4 linked regions of the Drosophila melanogaster genome follow. The protein of the gene in region 1 interacts with the protein of each later gene in a pairwise test. Each region holds a gene or a part of one and is shown on either strand. Other genes may lie near its edges. The genes, in order: Spt, SamDC, Mad1 and Lk6.

Region 1 (5,831 bases):
CAGATAGGTGAAGAGGAGGTAAACAGTGGAGGTCGTTCAAAAACACAGATATCAAACGCATAATCGAGCCCGAAAAGTGCGATGTACAGATGTATAGATGTATAGAGATTGAGGACAGACGAGAGATACACAATACACAACAATACATTTTCCGAAAAAGTCAGAAAACTGGTGCTTTAGAGTAGAGAAGATTGGCTAGTTCAGTACATAGTGGTAGATACATTTAGATTTATAGGATAACAATTCACTTGATCCCTCGTTAACACGGTGTAATAGGCTAGGCACCTGGCCCCCAGCGAGCTAAAACTTTGGCAAAGATTTTGGTGAAATACCTTTTGATGACCGGCGATCCTGCTTGTGGATCTGGGCATAAGATTGCAGCGAGCACCGGCGCAGTCGCTTGTCCCCTTTGTTCTGCTGCCGAAGAAGGATTATTCACGTGGCAATAGGGAATGGAATGCGGGTTATCCTTACCGACTTGTAGTGCTGGTTGATGTCCGAGGCGGCCTTCAGAAGCAGATAGACAAACACAAGGGCGAACAGGTAAATAATGGGCTCCGCTGTGTTACTCTTCTTGCCAACTTCCTTCTTCTTGTGCCCCTCCGGGGACTTTATCAAACGACGAGGTTGCTTGCTGACCCCATTTCCAGTGCCGTTTTTGGTTCTCTTCGTGGGCCTGCCTTGGGATCTTCTTGAAACTGCCTGATTCCGATTGGATTCCTTTCCGAAAACGTCCAACCTCTGGCACGATGCATCTGGAGCGGCGACATCCAATTCGGCGTCGGCCATGGCTTCCGGCTGGGCATGGTGCAGGTCGAAGGCAGCCACGCCCGGCTTAAAATAGTGCCTGTAGTTGCGCTGCATCCCGGCTACCATGAGATACACAGTGCAGAGCACCACGAGGATCCCCAGCGGCACCACATGATGGTTATTTGTATCCGTGTCCCTACTCACGGCACTTGCTTTTCGGTGTTTGGGAGAACAAGGCGGTGGCCCAATCTCTTCGGACAGAGCAAATTTATCGCCGGCCAGAGATTTCATAGCCGAGTGCTTACTGTTTACCAAGCAATTACCGTGTGTATCTGTTGACTGCGAGTCCTGGCTGCCGCTCGTGGTGGAAAATCGATAGGGATTGCCCACACAGCTTCACATGTTGGGTTGAACGAGGGTGTCCAGTGCAATTGAAAGGTCAATCGACCGAGGGAGATGCGCTGACAAGTGTGCTATGTGTCTATATATTTATTGGAACCTATTGCTCTACTTTTACAACAGTCTAAACTGTTTCCGATGCGATACTCTTCGCCACCCGAGGAACATACATGTTTGTGTGTATGCCTGACCTGACCTATGACATTCAGGTGGCGACGTACGTTAAGTTTGAATTGCAAAATCTCTTAAATGGTATGAACTTAAACACTAAACTAAATAAAAAGTTATGTACAAATGGTTGAAATGCTTCAGCATTCAAAGTATCCATTGGACATTCCAGTGAGTTGGTCGAGTATATCTAAAAATATACGAAATTTAATGGAAAAACTTATAAAATAGGAAATGTAATCATTTTAGGTACCTGTGATTTGTAGATCCGTAGACTGATTACTCATGGAGGTGTATAGCTTTCTGCTTTCAGCTATATTCTGCCGCTTGAACATGACAGTCCGTAAACTTTCTCCTGAAAATAGCATTCAAAACATTGGTAACCTTACCAAATTTATCTAAACATCAGCCGACTTACTTCTCAGAACATTTCCATGGGGTTTTGCCTTATCCGATTTAATGTCCAAGGTATTTGTGGGTAGCTTGTTGTCCGTTCGTCTAGTTACTCTATTCCTACGCTCTGTGTCGTAGAGGATACTGCCGCTTCGGGCTGTTTTATAGCCAGTGAAATGGGTTTCGTCTTCATTTACCCCCTTGGTATCATCAGCTAAAAGGGGAGCCAGGGGAATAGGAAGTTCCTCCTCTTGTTTACCAGCTCCCAGGGAGCCGTGCAATTTGCGCAAGATCGTGCGCAAGATCTTGAAGCGCTTGAGGATTCTCTGCGGCTCCACCTGGGATGCGCACATCAAAATAGCCTTGCACTCGCGCAGTACCCGGATGAACTGCTGGTAGTACTCTTCCCCCAATCGGTCCTGCGTTTCGCTTAGACCCTTTCGGTTGACTTCCAGCTGAAAGTGCTCGACTAGCAGCAAAGAGATTTGAACCAAGTCCTCCAATCGCTGCTTATCGAAAAGCTTTTCCGTTGCACTTATCCCTGAGGTCAGTATCTCCAGGCAACAACCAACGAGGGCGCGGCTGTCGATGATCTCCTGAAGCGCTGCCTTGAACTTGGCCACCTCCTCGTTAAAGTGCTGCTCTAGGATGTCCGAGTGCAAATCGGAACCATGGGCCTGCAGTGAAGGTATCAGAGTGGTGTCCAGTGATTCAAAGGAGGCCAGACAGCTGCGCATTATGGTTTTCACTGAAAAGGAATTGGTACTGGAGTTAATTGCGTTTTTTTTTATAATTATATATAATTATTATACTTTTCAAGTTGGGCGCAAAGGAAATGGCAAAAATGCCTATCTGGGTGGCGCGATCTATGTTCACATCAAAGTCCGCTATGAACTCATCGGCCAGATCATCATTATCTGGGCTGTTCCTTAACAGCGCTCTAATTTTGTCTACCGAAAACTTCTCGAAGTCCAGGAAGCATGTGAATACCAAGCGCAAAAGCGCATCGTTGATAAAGTCCTCCAATTGGTAAATTGCCTGTTCCATGGTCATGGCCCGCAGCTTAAGGGTGGACAGGTAGTTGGCACTGAATGACTCCTTGCACTCCTCCTGAAAGGCATTGCACTCCCGGATGACCTAGAGCACAAATGAGGGGAATAAATAAGGGGATACTGCAGAAGATGTACACCCACCTTTTGGCACAAGGCACTGAGAGCCCTCTTGTCCTGAGACAAAGCCACATTGGCGAATCCCAGAGATTGACCCAAGATCAAATCAATGTTGGCGCGCAACTTCTGGCTGAGTGGAAGGACTTCCTTGGGAGTCTTTGGACAGTTGGAGGTATCGGTGTTTTCCTCACTGTGCGAGGTGAACTGCGCCAAACAATCCAATGCGCCATCCACCAGCTTAAGGAACGAGCGCTCCGGAGCTACTGCTTCGGAACTCGATTCTTCGCTGTAAAGATGCATGAGGCGCTTCAGGCACCAGCGAATGCGGTCCAGGAAGTACTGATGACTTACCTGCTTTCAGAGGATTAGACATCATTGTGCAATGCATGGATGAGATCCAAATTACTCACCGAGACTGTGGTGCCGCATTCTAGTTTCATGGTGTTCTCCACTTGGCGAATGCAGATCATAATCTGGCTGAGGCAGAGGCACACCAGCTCCGAGCACTCCGACTGCCCCTGGGAGCAGAAGGAGCTGTGGGCCAAAGTAGCGAATTCCAATAGCACGGCGCACAGGTCCTGAAATTCAAAGCAACAAGTGATTGATGTCCTGGGGCTAGTGGTCCGTTTCCCCCACTTACATTCAGCCAGTTTGCAGCTGCTGCATTGTTCCTGTTCAGTATCAGCAGGCAGGCCTCTAGTTTCGTTCGCAAAATTTCCATTTTTGCCGGCAAATGTGAGTTCAAATGTTCTGTGGGCAGAAGTAAAAGTAAACAACTTTTTTAAAAAGTGGCTTCGGTTCCCTGTGAATGGCAAGATGGCACGGCTTGGCGTTAGTGACAACCAGGGAGGCTAGCTGCCTTCACCGCCACACGGTCCCACTGGACGCATCACTTTTTCGGTAGCAAAAACTTGTAGAAAATTGTCAATTCAATTCGCTGGTAGTTGTATATCCATGTGAAGCAGAGATAAGCTCCGCCAACTCTACCCGTCGCCCACGCCACGTCGCACAGTTGCGCCCCGCCACAAATATCGAAACCAGGCCTCACAGACCGCAAGCATACCCCAAAATGAGCTCCTCGAATGCGGGACAGCGCACGAAGCTAATTCAGGAGAAGTGCCAGACCCTCCTGACGCAGATGCTCCGCGACGAGGACAACAAGTACTGCGTGGACTGCGATGCCAAGGGTATGTTAATGGGGTCCACTTCTCCGCCAAGAGATACGCCTCTTGGTGACGCACATCTGTGTGCGTGCGTGCGTGGATATACACACCACACATGCAGCTGCACTGCGATATGAGCCTATGTGCTGTCACTGAATGCTACCTTTTATCCTTAGGTCCGCGCTGGGCCTCCTGGAACCTGGGCATGTTTCTCTGCATCCGCTGCGCCGGCATCCATCGCAATCTGGGCGTGCACATATCGCGCGTCAAGTCCGTCAACCTGGACACTTGGACGCCAGAGCAGGTGATCTCGCTGCAGCAGATGGGAAACTCGCGGGCTCGCGCCGTCTACGAGGCGCAGCTGCCGGACGGCTTCCGTCGCCCGCAGACGGACACAGCGCTGGAGAATTTCATCCGGGCCAAGTACGAGCACAAGAAGTACCTGGCCCGCGAGTGGGTGCCTCCCTCGCCGCCGAAAGTGGACTGGGCCAAGGAGATCGACGAGGAGCTTGAGCGCCAGAAGCGCAAGAAGAAGAGCACGCAGGCCCAGGCCACTTTGGGCCTGGCTGGAGTGGCCGGTGGCAGCGGCGACAAGCGCCTGTCCGGGTCATCTGCGTCGGCGCTCAAGAACACCCCCCTGCCCGCGCCGCTTCCAAAGCCGAAACCCAACCAGGTCGGCGGCTGCAGCCCAAAGACGACGCAACGCGTCCAGCTGAACAGCAGCGGCGTTAGCAGTGCCGGCGAAAGCGACCTCTTGGGACTGTCCTCGCCCACCAAGCCCATTGTCGCGACCAATGCCAGCCAAGACCTGCAAAACGAAAGTTTCACCAGCTTTCTCAGCGCCGAATCGATTGCCGGCCAGCCGGATAAGCCGATTGGCAGCAACGGCGACGCCGCCAATTTGATGGGCTCGAAGCCGAACTCGCTGGCACAAGAGGAGCAGGACTTCTTCAACCAGGGCTCACTGGGCGCCGGCGGCAACGAGAAGGATCAGTCTGGCAAGATGTCCAAGGACAGCATTCTGGCGCTGTACGGCAGCGCGCCAGCCACCCACAACCCCCAGATGAACTTTGGCGGCTTCACGGGCATGGCCCCAGGCGGCTATATGCACCAGCAGCAGCAACAGCAGATCCCCCACCAGTTTATGACACCGCCGAACTCGGTGAGCATGTATAATTCGCCAGTTATGGCTGCACCGAATGCGTTCAGCAATGCTGCCATCAGCAGTGCCACTGCGATGAGCATGGGCGGCTCCCATGGCTTTACTGGAGCCCAGTTTCCCAGCACCGGGGGCAGTCCCTATGCTGCCGCAGGCCAGGCAGCTGCAACAAATCTTATGCAAACGAACCAGAGCATTCTCAGTGGGATGCCGCTCTTTGGAGCTGTTCCGCAACAGCAGCAGCAACATCAGCAGCAGCTTCAGCAGCAACATCACCCACAGCTTGGCGGCCTCTCCATGAACTTAATGCAGCCCCTGCCCAGTGGGCTGAACATTGGCCAACCGCCACAAGGAGCGGGCGGATTTGCCGCAACGGGGCCCACCACCTCCTCAGTACCGTCAAATCTGAACCAGCAGTTTGGGAATCTTAATATCGGTAATGTGTGGCAATAAATACGCGGTGTATTTATGTAGTTGTATTCCTTTAATTAATTGTAAGACACGAGTGTTCGGTTCGTCTCGGTGTTGCAACATGTGTGTGTGAGACGGCGATGCTTGTTTATATACATTCGATTTATACAACAACTTGCCAATTTAGTTAGTTGTCCTATTCGTGTTCGTAGAAGAATT
Region 2 (5,576 bases), on another chromosome or scaffold:
CTCCATAAATGATAGAAAGACTCCGGATAGCTTAAGCTCGGATCACGCCACAGATGCGGCAACTACTCAACTCTGGCAGGCACTGGCCAGATCAGCCGGTACGTATTATTATCCGACCACTGACCGCATATTATTATGAAAAACATTTCAATTTGATAGCTAAAAGCAAGGAGGACAATCCGGCATCACAAATATTTCGAAATATGATGAGCCAGCCTTTCGCGTTTCCGGTTCCGTCGACAGTATCATTTACAAAAGTACCTGAAGAACCCATAGCACTATTAAAGGTAAACTATTTCTTCTATTTCAAGTAGCAAGTAGCTATAGGAAAGTCTAATACTCTTTGTGTTCTTAGGATCTATCAGAGGCTCAATCCAGCAAATCAAAACCATGTAGAAGAAAACAAAGTTTTCCTACCAAAACTGATTGCATCGATGTAGTTAATGAGAATGTGACTGATACTTATACCACTTCAGAAGCAACTCCGGATGATAAGAAAGATAAAAGGGTACGTTATCACAGTCATCCTCATTGAATCACATACTAATTATATTATTTCTTGGTTCAATTCCGATTTCGTAGAACATAAACCTTTTTAATGCCATACCTGGTGCTCAAAAAGATATGTCATGTTCGAATTGTGGCACCCTCACCACAACAATTTGGCGGCGAAGTGTTCGAGGAGAGATGGTGTGCAACGCCTGCGGATTGTACTTCAAGCTGCATGGGGTCAACAGGCCGCATTCAATGAGACGCGATACCATACACACCAGACGCAGGCGTCCTAAAGAATTGGAGCGATCTAAAAAGAGTGAGTGAGAGTTCGAAATTTATCTACATTTTTCGATTCGAAAGCTAGCCCTCTGTGACCCATAGATTTATTTATTTTTTGAGTATCTAACAATGAAAACAATTTGTTTACTTAATGTTTTTTTTTTATGTTCCCTGACCATTTTATTGTTGGTAATTAAATGTAACTTGCCAAAACAATTTATTTTTCTGTTAATATGTTCATTAAGCTATTGATTTAGCAATCGGAATATTAACCGCGTACCCACCCAAAATATTTTCTTGCTTGTCCAATCATATTTTATGATGTCATTGTTGTAGATGGCATTGGACGTGCCTGTTAAGTCGTTAAACTGCTCAAGTTTGAATAAATATCTACGAGCCTTTCATTATTAATTGTATGATTTATTTGCGAAAATTATAAATATACACTTTCTTTTGCAGAACACAAACAAATGTCATCATGTTCTTCAATAGAAACAACGAAGCAAGATTTCTTGACGGCTAGGGAATCTCTAGCCATTTCGGGCCTTGTTTTAAATGTATGTATCTGCACTATTACTTTAAAGTCTTGATAAGTAGATTGATCAACTAGATCTATTTGCATAAGATTTAAATACACTTAAACTTCAATTTTCTAATATGTTTTTATTTTAGAAATTCAAAAAGGAAATTGATGATACCGAGACCCCAGCCGCAGCAGCACTTAAAGATATTTTATCAAGGCGTAAGAAGTCAAATTCTTTGCCGGCGTTTAATGATACCTGTGAAAGTGCGGATCTATCCGCACCGCTTAACCTTGTTTCCAGTGAAAATAATGCAAAGTTAACATAAAACGCCAAATATATTCCCCCTACTCACTTTTCGAAAAAAAAAGAAGAACCTTTAACCCACATTTTGTTTATTTATGAGGTCGCGTAAGAGAGAAAAACAAATGGTATAGGATTAAAAATACGTATAGATTATTAATAAAATTTTCATTCTTTAAAACTAAATTTTATTCATTTGTATCTTTAAAAACTAATACCAAAATACTTATTAGTGTAAAAGAGGTATGAAAATTGAACCAGTATGTCAAAACTTTTAAATAATATCACACTAAATATAGACCTTAAGAGAGGACATCAATACTTAATGCAATTAAATTAAAAATAAAATTTATTATATTTATATTTATTAAAACCATTTTACAGTATTTTTAATTTTTTAATAACACAAATCGCTTCTATTAAAATGAAAAGTTCAGTTTTAACAATGATTTTTCAGCTGTCTTTGCAATTGAACAACTTCTAAAGCTAAAAAATAATAATGTTTTAAATCTCTTGCCTATACGAAAATCATGTGATAATATAATAATCTCCACAAAACATTTTAATAGTAAAACTATGCAAAAAGCAATAATCACGCAATGCAAACTTTTCAAGGAAATATTTAAATTATATACAATTATAAGAAACTAAAAAACTTAATGCTGTTTTCGAATCTACATAAATTGTCTAAATAAAATAAGGACTTCATAATAGGCTAAGATACAAAAAATATTACTCATTTATTTTTTCAAATAAAATACTCTATACAATTTTTAACAATCACAATAAAACTGGTTAATGTAAAATGAAAATCCAAATTCTACTGTTTTTTTTTAACTATTTGCCTGGGGTATGGGATAAGCAACCGAAAAATCTGTTAAACTAATGATGAGAATTTGAAAAAATATATATTAAAGATATTTAAGTATCTTAATTCGAATAGAAAGGGACTTACATTTTTACCGCCGACTGTTCAATGAGAAATGCTGTAAGTGGAAACATGCTGTTAGACTCCCGAATTATCGATGTAGTACAACAAGCACTCGCATCGATAGTCCCATCGTTTACTTTACATCACCAGGCGTTGTTTTGGTATCAGATCAGATCCATTTGTTATTGCCAGCCAGCAGCATGTTGGAGAACGGTTCGCACTTCTTCGAGGGCGTTGAGAAACTCCTTGAGATTTGGTTTGAGGAGAGCTCCAACGGTGACGATGATCTGCGTAACATCAGCAGGTGAGTCCCTCAACAAGTGCGGAACCCAAACAGCCGACATGTCCTTTGTGCACAAGTGCATGCACAGTTGCGGGCAAAAGTATACGTACATATGCGCCGTTCATTTTCGTCCTGAAAAGAAATGAAATGTATTTCTACACTGATAATTATCTTTTAAACATAACATAGTCCCATTGGAATAGGTTACACATTGGTTTTTAGGCTTATCAGATGCGGCACACGTGTACCTACCCAAATTAAATTGAAGTTTTTATTTATGATTCTCAAGATATACAAATTTGATTTGAAATTTCAAGAAATTAGTTATTAAAGGGAATTTCTTTTTAAACTGGCAGCCTGTAGAACTTTGTAAATTCACTTAGAATTAAGCTTTCAAAAATCGGTCTTAACCCTTGGCCTTGTTTGATAACGAGTTTTAATCAATCCCATTAATCCAATCCTCATTATCTCAAAATAAATTTTGGTCGAGGCATTGTGTACATGTTTATTCAAATAGCCTTGAACTTTTAATGAATGTAAATGATATTTTTCAGATCTGATTGGGAAAACGTGCTTAGCAATGTCAACTGTCAAATAATAAGCACATCCAAAAACGACATTATTGATGCTTTTGTGTTAAGGTATGCGAATATATAAAACTAAACTTAATAAAATATTATTAATTATTTTAAATTTGTATTCGGTGCGAGCAGTGAGAGCAGTATGTTTGTTTCAAAGCGACGATGGATCCTTAAAACTTGTGGAACGACTACTCCATTGAAATGCCTGGGTCAGTTGCTTAAGCTGGCTGAGGCCAATGGATACAATGTGGTCGCAGACTTGTTCTACTCGCGAAAAAATTTCACTAGACCGGAGGCGCAGGTGGGCAAAAAAATTAATTGCATTTCAAATGATTTTATATCATATATATTCAGATAACTCCCCATCAAGGCTTTACGGAGGAAGTTACGTATCTGGACTCAATTTTTCCCAACGGAAGATCCTATTGTCTGGGCTCCATGAACCTGGAGTGTTGGTACCTCTACACTTTTAGTCGTTCTGATATCAAAATTACGCCCCAACTTATATCGGATGAGAAAAACGTTGACTCCGATCCAGATCAAACTATTGAAATATTAATGCAAGATCTAGATCCCGAAACCATGTCAATCTTCTATAAAAACAAGTTTAATGATGCTAATGGCGCTACTGTGGTATGAGGATATATTTTAAATGATTAAAACCAATACATATAGATTGTGATTTCAGAAATCTGGTATCGATACCATATTGCCGACTATGCACATTGATGACTTTTTGTTCGATCCTTGCGGCTACTCCATGAATGGAATCAACGATAAGGTAACATAGAAAAATTTTACAAGAACTATTGACATAAATTCTTTATAGGGGGAGTACATGACAATTCATATTACTCCGGAGAATCAATTTTCGTATGTGAGCTTCGAAACAAATGTGGCTCTAAGTAACTATCGTAAACTTATCAATCAAGTAATCAATACTTTCAAGCCGGGAAAGTTTATTGTAACCATCTTTGCCAATAAGGTAAGCTGTTGCTCCACTTTTTGTATAATTATTTAAAATAATTTTCGAATATTGTGGATCAGTGCTCGTTGGCCTACGAAACTATGAAGGAACTGGAAGTGGAGTACTCACAGGGATCGCACTGGAAACGAACCGACATGCAATGTTGCAACTTTCCATCTTACAATCTTCTGTTTGCACAATATTCCCACAGTGAGAAAACTGGTGATAATTTATAAAATTCCAAAGCCAACAGCAATTGTGATTGTTTTGCGTATGTCTAACAAAATTTATTTTTCGTTCGTTATTAATTATTCAAAATAAATGTCGAATAAATAAAATAATAAATACTACTACTACTAAATAACGTACAATTACTTTTTAAATAGACTGTTAATATAAAATACTAAAATATACCAACACCCTGGATAATTCGCAAATTCCAAATGTAGCAAATAATTATCGGATCTGAACAAGTGTCACAGGCAAAGTTCCATCCCTAGCAGTATTTGACAAGTCGGCCCAAAAGAAAAATAAAAATGAGTGCGATTTCTAATGAAGACATTATTTGGACCATAAAGAACGGAGAGTTCGATGCTGTGCAAGACGCTTTTCAGAATGATGTGCGCTGCTAATACTCTAAATAATTTTGGAATTAATTAATTCTATTTGTATACAGGCACAAAAGGTGAATGAGGAAATCAAGGGCCGTTTTCCAGTACACTATGCAGCAGATTTTGGACAACTGAATGTCCTGGAGTTTCTTATAAGCTTAGGAGCAGACATAAATGTAAGTAGCTCACAATGCCAAATTACTCGGCCATGAATCATTAATGTTTCGTCAGTTACTGGTTTCATATATTAGTGTACATATATACACGTCTGCACCACCTTCATTTGTTTAGTCATAGTCTCAAGCTAAACAAATGAACCAGGTGTGCACCTAAGACATGCCGGTCTTCGTATAATAATAGAACTTAATTGTAATTAACTAATATTTATTGAAGAGAAAGGACAAACATGGTATTACCCCCATTCTGGCTGCCATTTGGGAAGGACATACGAGCTGTGTGGAATTACTTCTAAAAATGGTTTGTGCTTCCTTGTTTCTACATATACGCCAAATAAACATGTTTTCGATTGCAGGGAGCTGATAAAAATGGTTCTACTCCAGATGGCCAAAGCTACCTCGAGGCGGCGGAAAAAGACGAGATTAAGA
Region 3 (6,252 bases), 370 kb from region 1:
GTGCGTTTTTGCAGCGCGTTAACAGCGCTTGAAATGAGCACGAGGCATAAGCGCGAGAGAAGTGCAGTGAGAACGAGGTGAAATGCAGCACAAAGCTTTGCGAGAGCGAGTAGGACAGGTGGAGGAGTGGGGGTAGAAATCCCGTTACTACTATCTAGTCAATTTAATGCCTTCAGTTTTTAGGTCCCCAATTAAACCGTATTTGTTTTATCCACCCCACTATTTCCCATTTACTACCTTTTTTTCCATAATTTTCGATGTTTTAACAGGTAAAGATATTTCGTCGTGCTTTGGCCTACATTTGCATCAATGTGATATAATCAGGACGCCAAAGCGCGCGCACCTTCTCCCTCGAAACGCTTTACCAGCATTTCATAAGATCCCATCAGTTTGATTTTGTAAACATTTACTTCCAATCAACGGCGTTCAATTAATAGTGTTGCTATTGGATTGTGTGCCCCAGGAAAATATTTAGCTTTCTTTTAGACCTGATCTTGCTCGACATTTAAACTCTAGCATTAAACATTGAAGTCTTTTAATAAAAAGGGTGAGACAGAGAGAGAGTGATGCACTTTTATATGAAGCTCTCTACCTCTCGCAAAAGCATTGCCAGCTGTAAATGTGAATGGATAACAGAGCACTAAAACTCCTGTAATTGCTGCTGGCCGAGATTTTTAATTGCAGTAAGAAGAAGGAGAGATAAAGTTGTTTTGTTTATCCTAAATAATGCCAGATCAACTGCCAACTGAAAGCCATCTCGGCTGCATTTTTATCAGCTCTTAAAGGAATTCCAGCGCTTTGGGAATTCGCAACTAATTTATTTTTGGAGACATCCTCTCAAAGCAACAATTTTGGAAAGGCCAGAGAGCGAAATTCCTTTCAAAGGGGGCGCGAGAAGAGGAAGAAGAACAACAGTTGCAGCCACACGTGGGATGGAGGCGGCGGGAAAGGAGGGCGTTGGGGGAGTGGCACATCTGTGAGGCGTAAGTATTACCTCAGTTATTTGGGTCAAAGCTATTCACTCACCCGCAAAGCAAAACGAAACGAAGGAACTGCATAAAACATGCACAAACACACACACATATGCAGAGCAGGAGCTTGAGGGACACGCACACAAAGAGACTAATGCGGGCCACAGGCTTAATAGGTTTCTCTAGCGGATGCGGACGCGAGTGCGGAGCATCCGCAGCGATACGCCTTGCTAGATACACTCGCCAAAGGTTGTCATATGAAAAATTCACATAGATGGAGCAGAGTGCCTGTAGTTTAGGCCAGGCATGAATCGTATCCATTGCACCCATACTCAAGCAGCAAAATAAAAATTTGCCTAATCTTCTCTAGAAGTTGATTTATTCATGCATCCTGTTGTGTTGCTCTATAAAGAACCTATCTTTCGTTCAGCTGACCACGTAAAGAACAAAATATCTACAAAGACCAAGTCAAAGAAATATTAAAATATATTATAAATTTTACTTTGTTCAAATTGCATGTTATTAAAAAAAATCTATTACCTAGTATTATTTTTGATTATTTTGTTTCTACTGCTTAATTAAAAAATTCATTCCTACAGAGAATAATTATTTGTTACACGCAGCATTTTTATTATTAAGTTGTAGTGTTGGGTTAAACTTCTTTGGAAAAATATGACATAGGGTTAACTGTTTTAATGTTGGGAGAGGCTAACACCGTTGGTTGCAGATGTGAATGATGGGGGATGGTGATGAAGTGAGAACAGCTGATTTTGGCAAAGTAACTTGCGGTACCGTGGTGATCGGGAAAACTAAAACGGTTAAGCCGTAGTTGCCGGCTTTGCTTTGCTTTTAGCACGTTTGCACTTACCTCTCTGGCCATTACGACATGTTATCACCAGCGGCACCCGCTTAGAGGGTCTGCCATTTGCTCAGCGGCAATAACAACAAAAACAACACGGGAGCGCCTCTTAGAGCGAGGGAGTGGGAGAGGCAACAACAAAGCACACGCTTTTCGCGATACGAGAACTCTCGTGCGTCTACTTAAGTATGTGTGTGTGTAGGCGGCAAGCGGTATAGACGGAGAGACAGAGAGAAAGAGTGTGGGAGGAGTGTGTGCGTGTGAGTGTCTCAAAAATTCTCTACTACACGTTTATTTTCAATCTTCTCTTCCCGCACATTTCTCCAACGCGCCGATGCTGTTTCGTTCTTCCTCTTGCTTTTCTATCCTGTCCTTTGGCTTCCTTTCCTTCTTCCTCTCCACACCAATCACTGCGTGGGTATGTGTGTATAGGTGTGTATTGGAATTCGCAAAGGTATTTGATTAGGAAAGCTGGGATTTGTTTAAACAATTAGCATGCATCACTTTTTGCAAATTTGTTACAGTAACTTGGGTCAACCCACGCCCACTTTTATAGGTGCGGCTGTTGGGCAGGATTTGCTTTTTGGCAGTGGTGGTGGTGTACGTGTGCGGGATGCTTCTGTGTGCGTGCGAGAGAGCACATTGGAGTACCGTTATCGCTGGAGCCACATTTTCTTATTTGACATACACTTTTTTGTTGCACACGCACACGCGTTTCGTTGTTTTTTTTTTGTTACTTTAGTAAAATTTATTTTCTATACTCTCTTTCTTGAAAGCTTTCTTTTAACCGTTTTTTGTCCTTATCTCTTGGTATGTACGACACACACGCTTCACATACGTTCTAGTTTTTGGCAGTTGTTCAATTGTTCGAATTAATTCCGATTTCGGAATTTGTTGTTTTAACGATTTATGAGTTTTTTCGGTGCGGAAACAATAACATTTAATTCATTTTAAGCCGAGAAGAAATGCAAATCAATTTTTATTTTCGGCAACACTCGAAGAACTATCGTTATCGATTGCGATTTCTTTTACCTGTAGTATTTCGTGTAACATACTTTTGGGTGGTGCAGAAAAGAGTCACGCTCGAATATACTAAACTGGGCTGCCAACTTAGCTTTTGATTTGTTTTCTTGATTTTATATTAACACACCAAATAAAGAAATTGCTTAAGACAACTGTCCCTTTTAAGATATTATTTCCCAGATTAATATACGTATATTTGATTATTGGTGACAATTTTGGATACAAAAGCCAAAGTTATCGGCCACTTTAATACTAATAAAATATGACCAATATTTGGCATTTCTTGTCTAAATATTTGCAGCCACTCTAAGATTAATATTTTACCAACTTCTTTTAGCAATAAAAAGTAAATATCTTTACTGAAAACGTCAACTAAGGTCTCCCACATACAACTTAAAATGGACGACATACGTAGCAGCATAGATGATATGATGGACCGCTTTAACGACAGCATTACCCATTCGGCACCCAAGAAACTACTTTTCAACCGGCTTTCCGCCTCCTTCGATTTAGGAGTTTGTAAGTTGTAATTTACAGGCGCGAACGTAGAAACTAACAAGTAACTCCTCTACTAGCACCCAATAAGCGACGTCGGGAACGGGAATCACCGGAACGCAGTCTTAACGACACCGCCTCTTCCCTCAATATGCCCGCCAACGATTCCATGGCTTCTTTGCAGAACAGCAAACTACGGACCGAGCTGATCGAAACCAAGGCCATAGTAATTCAGCTGCGTAACGAAATCGAAAAGAAGAGCCGGGAACACAAAGAGGCCATATTGCTGGCTGAGAACAAGAGCACGGCCTTAAAGGATCAGTGCGACATCACCAGCAAGAAGAATTTGGAGCTGCAGGACGATCTTAAGGCGCTTCGTAAGCGAGAGCTGGTCTTGAAGAATGAGGCCAGTCGGGCCACCGCCGAGTTGAACCAACTTAGGCTTAAGTTCGATGAATCCACGCTCAAGTTGCAGAAGGAGAAGTACCTGCAGAAGGAGGATGCCCGCGATGTGCACCTGTGCATCAACAACGAACTGAGCGAATATCGCCGCATAGCCCAGCGGGCCGATCTCGAACTGCAGTCTACGCGCAACGAACTGGAGCGCCTACGTCAACTCAATGAGGAGTTACAGGCCAGGGCTTCCGGATTCGAGCAGCTGCGCGCCAATCACGAGAAGCAAACGCAAAGCTTGAAGGTGGCCAACGATCGCATTCAGGAGCTGGAGTTCGAAATTCAGTCGTATAGCGACTGGAAGGAGGTGGTCAAAACCTCACGAGAGCGCCTGGCCAGTGTTCCAGATTTGCTAGCTGAGGTGGAGCATCTGCGCAGCCACAACAAGCATTTAAACACTCTGATAGGCGATAAATTGCTTCTGGAGGAGCAGGTCTACGACTACAAAACGCGACTGGAGCGGGAGGAAGGTGCTCGGGCGGAAGCAGCTTCCCTGCAGGTGAAACTGCTTCACATGGAGCAAGAACTCAAGGAATGGGTCAAGGTGGCCCAGGATCACTGCTTGGCCAACACTTTGGTCAGCCCAATGGCCCTACGCTCGCGCATTGAGCAACTGCTAAAAGAAGACATCATTCACGTGGCAGAGAAGACATCATCGGCTTCGGATACCAAGCATTTGAATGTAGGTTTTGTCCAATGTGTTCCAAGTCCAATTTATCTGACTCCATTTTATAGACCACAATTCGAGATCTAGAGCATAAGTGCGCCATTTACTTGAAGAACATCGAGGATCTCAATATCGGACTGAAACGCCACAAGAACTTCAAGGAGCGACTGCAGCGCAAACTGATCACCGTGTCTAAGGAGCGCGACTTCTACAAACAACTGGTGGAAAACTTCGACAAGGACACGACCCTGAGCAATGCCAGTGTGGCGGACATGACGCAGGACATGCAGGTGCGGGTCCGAATGGAGGTGCTTGAACGCACCGTAACCGGATACAAGGACATGTGTGCCACGTTGGAACGCGAGATTCAATCCTTGCGCCAGCAGGAGCTTGTGAACGAACCTGCCGGAGAGGGATACGATAGCGTCAAAAAGGAACTGGATACGCTGCGGATGGAAAACGATCGGCTGCGTCGGCGCAAGGAGGAACTGGAGATGGAGATGATGCACCGCTGCTTGCGGGGCGACTTCAACATGAAGGACTTCAAGGTGGTACACTTTAGTGAAAATCCCGCTGCCGAAGCCTATGAGTCCACCAAAAACATGATGGAGAAGCTGCAGGCGGAGATTGAGCGACTCAAGCGGCGCAACAAGAAGTTGGAGGACGATAACGAGCAAAGGCTCAATGAAACCACCAGCACGGGCGGCATGACACTGAACTTTAAGGAGTTCAATCAACTTCAAGCCGAATTAGAGTCCGCCAATGGCAAGATGCGGAAGATGAGGGATTGCTTCAAGGCGGCCCGAGAGGAGTTCCGCGATGTGTGCTACATGCTGCTAGGCTATAGGATCGATCGAATCGGTGCCAACAGCAACTATCGGTGGGTAGCGATTCCATAGATCCTCCATCTTAGTTGCTAACATTTAATATTTCTCTTGCAGCATATCGAGCATGTTTGCAGAGGGACCGGATGACTATCTGGACATCAGCCTCAACGAATCGAACTGTTTGGCGCTACTGGAGTCGCCATATTCGCACACATTCAATCCACCTATTGATCAGCAGCTGGCAGCCAGCAACTTTCCCGCATTCTTTTCCGCCCTCACCCTAGAACTATTCCAAAAGGCCACTGTCACGATGACTTAGGTCATCATTACTTTAGTCTGTCTTAGCTTAAGCTAGCCGAGTATGAAGGCATTGAAACTTATTCTTGTCCGCATCAGATATACGATTGGTTTTTTATTTTACCACGCTAACAATAAACTTCCCCACATATAAATACATATAAATTATAGTAATGCACAATAGAAATTGGAATACCCAATCCACTAAGTGGAGGTCAGGATGTGAGCCACCTGCTCCGGCGTTCTGTGCAGCAGCTGCTCCGGCTGCTCGAAGCCGTTGGCCGGATCGTGGACGCGTTCGTAGATCTGCTTGTAGATGGCCACGATCACGTTGAAGGATCGCTTCTGAACGGCGGCCCGGTGACTGCTGGACATTATGAGCTGCACCTGCGGCAGGAGCAATACATCGGGTAGTTCCAGAAAGGCGTCCATCTTGGACATGAAGATCTTCAGCAGGTTTGTTTCTATTTTAGATTGATTGCTCTGCAGAATGGCGTAGATGGGACCCAGATTGAGGTTCGCCACCAGCGATGATGCCTGCTCGGAGGTCAGTGTGTCCAACTGGGCATCCGACTGCGCCTGCAGCCGCTCCACGCGCTCATCCATATATTCGTAGACAGCCAGCGAGCTTTGCATGTGATGCAGACAGTTCAAAAGGTA
Region 4 (6,064 bases), on another chromosome or scaffold:
CTGTTTCATTGTTTTTGTACGTTTTGGAGTGTGAGAGCGCGATGCCCGAGAAAATGTCGTGAAAGACGTGGAGCAGAGGTGCGAGGGAGAGAGACAGACTCCAACACCAATGCCAATGCATACCAATGAAGGTGGTGTGATGTGCGCGAGTTCTGTTTAAAAGCAAACAAGTGGAAAGGGCAAACAGCAAAACAAAAACTACATTTAACTTGCTTTGTTTTCGTTTTGCACAGTAAACAACACATATGCCTCAGCTGACGTTTTTTCCACTGCGGCATTGCCACAGCTAAAAAATAAATTTCTCTCTCAGGGCTTTTGCGCAAACGAGCAAGGGAGACAGAGATATATTGGGCTGATTTCATGAATCGGAGGAGGCTGCACGTAGGCACCACTAGATGTCCTCCTATCGATAGGCCTCGATAGAATGAAAAACTTCTCGATAATTATGGAAAATTATTATGGATCGTTGGGGGGAAAACAAGTTTCCAGCTGGTGGGCTCCAATTGACAGCGTTTTGCACTCAGTTGATTGCAGCTGCAAAATCCACTCCAGCACAACTCCTAATGGGCGCACACATTTTATATGTGTGGGAGGCCAAGCAACGAACGTCACACCAAGTGCAATAAACGTCATGAAGGTTATAATCGTAGTTTGTTCACATTTCGCCGCGTTCGCTGCATTTTGGGCACGAATACGCATTTGAACACGAGTGTCAGTGCATTACGCTCAATCGATCAGCCATCATGAGTCATTTTCCATTTCCATAACTGCCTGCACACGCTCAATTTCAATTTCTCGGTCTCGGCTAGCTGGCACAGATACTAGTGCCGTCTCTCTCACTTCGCCGGCAGCTTTGGTGGTGTTGGTGGAATGGCAGGGAAAAGGAATACCCTTTTGTGCTTGGAATCTAGTATTGCTTAAATTGATAATCATATTATGCGAATTTATACCAGTCAACTGGTCTAATTACAAAGGGTAACTATTGGTGCTGAAATCTACATATGTATGTGTGAATATATTCCTATTGTACAGCAGTTTACCCATATGGATTTCATGATTTTTCAAAGCAGCTCACTTATGCCCGATTTTATAGGATATTAGTGGAATTAGTGGATGTCAGTGGTCCAACCCAACCGTATCTAGCATATTTACACAACAATCTGTCCTGTTTCATAAGATTATCTTTGATAAACACAAAGTATGGACTATAATCACTATCTAAACGAAAACAACAAACTTCTAGTTTAACCTCCAGTTAGAATATGACTAATTAGTGGATTTAGTTGATCTTTGTCATTGTTATTTTATAGCATATATCAAATCCCACATATAATTAAGAACTTGTGTACAATAATAACACCCCCAGTGATGGTTATAAAGTCCAGATGCTGGAATACCCCTAAAATTAGGGCACATACACACTTATATTCAGCTTAATGGCCCCAGTCGAATGATGCAATGGGGTTCTCTTGGCGAAACAAAACAACTGTAAACACCACACAGACTGTGCGGGGTGGGTGAAGGGAAGCGGAGTGGGTGGTGGGGTTGGGCGCCGGCAGGCAGACAGCATGCATGTTCTCGAACATCGTGTGACGTCAAGGAAATACACTGCGGCACCCGGTGCGCAACGTGGCCCAGTCAGTCAATGCTCCCTAGTTCGTTCGATTGATTAGCAAGGGTAAACGAAACGAAAGTGCTGCCTGGCCCAGCTTTGCCGATAACTGACTAGAAATCCACTGAATGAAAGCGTAGGAGCAATGGTCGGGTCTTTTCTCTGATTGGTAGTCAGTCCCCACCCAATGACAAGCAGAATAATACATACATATGGTTAGGAACTTTAGAGGAAGTATAACTTCCGATACAAAATATTACATTAACGTATATCTTTTTTTTACCATTGCATTTTAGCAGAAATATCCTACAAATCGTATTTTATAGGTACAACTTTAAGAAGCAAAGAACGTTTGTCACATTCTCAAAATAATAATTATATGCTTAAATAAGGCTTTTGTTTTCTTTTGGCATGCAAATAACTGTTGCCTACGAAATATACTTTATATTTAGGCAATACAACAATATTACGACAGAGATACAGGTGAATTTCCAATAGGTAGAAGTTCAAATTTATACGAAAGAGCTGCCAAATTCACAGTCAGAGCAAATATTTGCAATTATTTCATCATTCTGTTAACATGTTGTCTAGTTAAAATTAAACTGGTGACACACGAAGCGCAAATATGCGAAATCTCTTCAGAAGGTTTCCAAAATATATCTCATGCATCACAGTTTGCTTCTCAGCTATGGGAATTTAGTGTCAAACTCCCAGAGTTCTAGAAACTCAAATTGCTCACCTGACTGACTCTGGCTGCAGCTGTTGTCCGTGTTGCTGCAGGAAATGCCGCTGCCACTCCGGATGCCGCTGTCCCCAGATCCACGGGGGTGGTTGTTGTTATTGTTGTTGCTTGCTTTCGCAGCAGCGGCAGAAGCAGCTGTCCCGGACTTGGGCTCCACCATGTTGTTGCTGTTGTTGTTACTGTACGGTGCTCCTGGACGCGATTAGAGTGAGACAGGCAGAGTGCTTACAAGCTGGAAAAAGGGTTTACGGTGCAACAAATGAGCAGCAGTTTTTCTCAGTCTCTCGTGCTCTTTCCTCTCTTCTCGTTCAGTTCATTCAAAATCAAAATGGTGGCCGCCTATGGGATTTTTGTGTTTTTAATACAATGCGGCGGTTGATGAAAAAACTGATTCAATTCTGCTGCAGATGCTCCTCTCTCTCTCTCTCTCTATCTATCGCTCTCCGCTGTTTATTTATTCTTGGTTTGGTGGTTGAGTCGTCGTTGGTGTGGCTGCTGTTGTTGTTGTAATCGATGGCTGCTGCTGATTTCTCTCATCACACAGGCGAAAAAAGCTCAAGCAAAAAATGGGGTTTATCTATTTGCACCGCTTTTTTCGGTTATCTGCGATATTTTTTGTTTTTTTCTTCGGGTATTGCGATTTTTGCGTTTCACCTCTTCTTTGTGGGCTTGGTGCAGTAGTGCTGTTGCTGTGGTTGTTGCTCTTGTAGTTGTTGGTGAGATGGTTGTTGTAGTGATGGAGGCGTTAATTTAGTTCTATTTTATTTTCCGGAGCTGCTGGAGATGGCTGGTGTGGCGGTGGAGTTGGTCGTTAAAATTTCCTCTGCTGATTACAACACAAAAAAAATCGCTGAATAGCGGACAAAAGCCGTTTTCTTTGCGTATTTCGCTTTAAGTTTCCTTCCCAGCTACCGATCCATTTTCAAAGTTCGAATGATTCCGACGAATGACGACGAATTCATCCGTGTGGCCGGAGGTACCATTTTGGTAGGACCGTTTTTCGGGCCAACGAAAATACCACAAGACGGCAGCGACACTAGGGTTTTTTGCTTCAAATGTAGTATGGCTACGCAACTCACATATGGTTGAGAACTTCGCTGTTTATTTGGTGGTTAAACTAGCTAAATACAATAAGAGTGGCAACGCCGTCACGTTTTCTACATGTATTTTACTTGGCGTAGTGCGCCAAGCTTATAAACCACAGTTGGGCGGTTCTTTTGAATTGTTTAATTTACACCCCACTATGAAACTTATTAGCCTTCTTTATTTATTTTATATTTTATTTTTGGGAAGAATACGTTTACTCAAGGTTCGCAGCTTGTCAATCAGTATTCGCAAATATCAATAATAAAAGGCATCAATTTTCCAATCAGCAGTTGAAAAGAACTCCCCTCGACATTTGAACAAAATGCATTTTTGGGTGATTATAATTTATTAGAATTTTTATTGACTTAAGGTAAATATAAATAAAATATTATTCAAGTACAAAGTTATATATACTCATTAATATTATTTGATTCAAGTAAATATATTTCAAAGTGGCGGTGTTTTATTATATCATTTTTCAATTAAGTACAATTTACTGTTCCTGCTCTATTTCTATGGGTTCGCAGAGAGTCCAAAAGTACTCTTAACACTCGGTCCTGTAAGGTGTGTATAATTTTCGGGCAGGCCATTTTCGGATTTGGCCCGACCGGAAAATATTGCGAGCCATTGACGACGCACCTGCAAGTTTTAAACCTGGCTTATTGACTCGTGATTTCCTCGTCTTTGAGACCCGGGGATCGAGTACTTGTGGGTACTTTGCGAACCCGGACTTCAAACCTTGCCCATGCAACAATTGTATCTTTGTGTAGTTTACGTTTAATCAATGAATTTGGATCACAAACAGTAAATACGTCTTTAACGATAATTGCAGTTGAATTAAACATATTAAGATAAGGGTAGTGGGGTGGGGGTACCTTTGTTTTAATTATAAAAATATTATATCTGCATTTTACATGTTTTTGTTTCGCTACTATCGTTTTTGCTCGAAATTACATAAGTCCAGCCTTAAAACAAGTAATTTTCGTCACCAATCGCATTCGCGCACGCTCCATTATCCATAACACTCGGTTTCGTCATCAATTCAATTCAATTCAATTTTGCATTTAAACGCTACGTTGCCTTAACTTCAGTCCTTTCGCAGAAAATCTAACCCTTAAATGTATTTAGCTCTTCGCCCGTCGATCCTTTTTCTTCCCTCCTTCCTTCCTTCACATCCCCCGCATGCTGCAGACACTAAACATAAATTCAATACGTACAGTTTCAAATTGGATGCGCGGCATCGTATCGTCGTTTAATGTAAAAGGTGTAATGCTACGCGCCCTTTTCGTCTGATCCTTGCCCTAAATGCCATCCTAGGGTATTAATCCATCCACCTCTAACTACAATTTAACTTCTCTTTGGCCGCAAACCCCCCGCATTACTTATTTAGCTCCTGTAAATATGAACTGCTTATGTTTCGCTTACGCTCCTTCGATCATTTTTGTGTTTGCTTTTGTTTTTGTGTTTATAATTTATTTAAATGCACTAAAAGTTGCACGGACCGTTTGCCAGCAGCCTGTGAAGTCGATCGTCGTCGGTTCGGCTGTGTTGCGATCTAGATCTATCCTGTAATTGTCGATTTTATACCTTCGATAAGCCAATGAAGTGTGAGAAAATATGTATCTATTTCGTCATTTGTTTGTTCGTTCGTTATGCATTTTAGTTGGTTGATGATGGTTCGTTTTGCGTTTATAAAATGCCAAAATTTGTGCAAATTTCTAAAACATTTTTAGTTTGTTCTTCTCGTATTATTCTAAAATATTTGTAACTTTAAAATGTACTTCCTCATTAGATTAAATTTTTCTTTTCTTTTCTTTTCTTTTGTTTTGTTTCATTTTTCTTTTCTTTTTTCACTTCGTTTAAAATATTGCATTTTTATTTTATGTTTTTCTTTTGGAGGCTTTATCCCTGAGTGATTTAATTTCATTTGTTTGTCATTTATTGCAACTTTTTCTTTATAAACTTATTGTTTTATATTTTCTTATTCGATTTAGTGTGTCAAGAAAAATAGATAGAGAGAGAGAGAGAGAGTGAGTGAGACCGAGAAAATCAATGGCAAAATAAAAACTCCTTGTTTGCTGTGAAGGTTGCTTAATTATTTATATGTTGTTACGTTATTGTTTACCAAATTGTTCTGCCTTACGGGCCAACAAAACGCATTAATAATATGCTACCCTCTGGCGTAGTAACTGTATTGAGATTTGCTTAGTTTCGCTTATTTTTCCATTAACTTTTTGGCTAATACACATCCTCGGTTTACTTGTCTATATGCAATCTGCTGCTGTGTCGTGAGTGCTTCTTCTCTTGTGGGTGTGTAGTTAAAATATTTGTACTTCACTGCAAGTGTTTCATTTACGTTCCGCACTGTATACTACTGTTGATCCAAACTGGCTGGCACCGGATCAAATAAATACACAAGTTTTTGGCACCAACCAAGAAGGTTATCTTTCTGATTAAGTACATTTTTCGTAAGAAGTGTGCCGGAAAAATAGTTTTTGAACGTGAAAAATGCATACAAATGTCGCTCTGGCTCAAACTCTTCAGAAATTACGATTTGAAAAGTTATTTTACTCTTGCAAGTGTTTTGTACTAGATCCATAGGCTATAACCGGATTAAGACTTTA

Evidence for each region.
Region 2: the proteins of Spt (region 1) and SamDC interact in a two-hybrid assay, tested with the Drosophila melanogaster proteins (one large-scale study listed by BioGRID).
Region 3: the proteins of Spt (region 1) and Mad1 interact in a two-hybrid assay, tested with the Drosophila melanogaster proteins (one large-scale study listed by BioGRID).
Region 4: the proteins of Spt (region 1) and Lk6 interact in a two-hybrid assay, tested with the Drosophila melanogaster proteins (one large-scale study listed by BioGRID).

The regions. Positions count from the first base shown.
Region 1 is NT_033778.4:8,919,050-8,924,880, forward strand, and holds Spt (spitting image), read right to left. Parts: upstream 3,707-5,831; 5' UTR 3,601-3,706; coding exon 3,520-3,600; intron 3,458-3,519; coding exon 3,290-3,457; intron 3,231-3,289; coding exon 2,904-3,230; intron 2,848-2,903; coding exon 2,523-2,847; intron 2,459-2,522; coding exon 1,736-2,458; intron 1,673-1,735; coding exon 1,571-1,672; intron 1,508-1,570; coding exon 1,458-1,507; 3' UTR 1,221-1,457; downstream 1-1,220. Other genes in the region: CG8248 (uncharacterized protein), read right to left, coding at 301-417, 475-1,041; CG8243 (uncharacterized protein), read left to right, coding at 3,949-4,066, 4,219-5,654.
Region 2 is NT_033779.5:10,336,786-10,342,361, forward strand, and holds SamDC (S-adenosylmethionine decarboxylase), read left to right. Parts: upstream 1-2,671; 5' UTR 2,672-2,729; coding exon 2,730-2,833; intron 2,834-3,366; coding exon 3,367-3,453; intron 3,454-3,525; coding exon 3,526-3,694; intron 3,695-3,747; coding exon 3,748-4,026; intron 4,027-4,081; coding exon 4,082-4,174; intron 4,175-4,222; coding exon 4,223-4,378; intron 4,379-4,440; coding exon 4,441-4,596; 3' UTR 4,597-4,718; downstream 4,719-5,576. Other genes in the region: GATAd, read left to right, coding at 1-98, 160-287, 356-508, 583-811, 1,234-1,331, 1,447-1,623; CG31715 (uncharacterized protein), read left to right, coding at 4,897-4,980, 5,037-5,147, 5,365-5,448, 5,504-5,576.
Region 3 is NT_033778.4:9,288,457-9,294,708, reverse strand, and holds Mad1 (mitotic arrest-deficient 1), read left to right. Parts: upstream 1-3,143; 5' UTR 3,144-3,251; coding exon 3,252-3,372; intron 3,373-3,428; coding exon 3,429-4,483; intron 4,484-4,536; coding exon 4,537-5,348; intron 5,349-5,409; coding exon 5,410-5,614; 3' UTR 5,615-5,752; downstream 5,753-6,252. Other genes in the region: Cog6 (component of oligomeric golgi complex 6), read right to left, coding at 5,797-6,252.
Region 4 is NT_033777.3:11,761,133-11,767,196, forward strand, and holds the start of Lk6 (Lk6 kinase), read right to left. Parts: upstream 3,326-6,064; 5' UTR 2,515-3,325; coding exon 2,352-2,514; intron 1-2,351.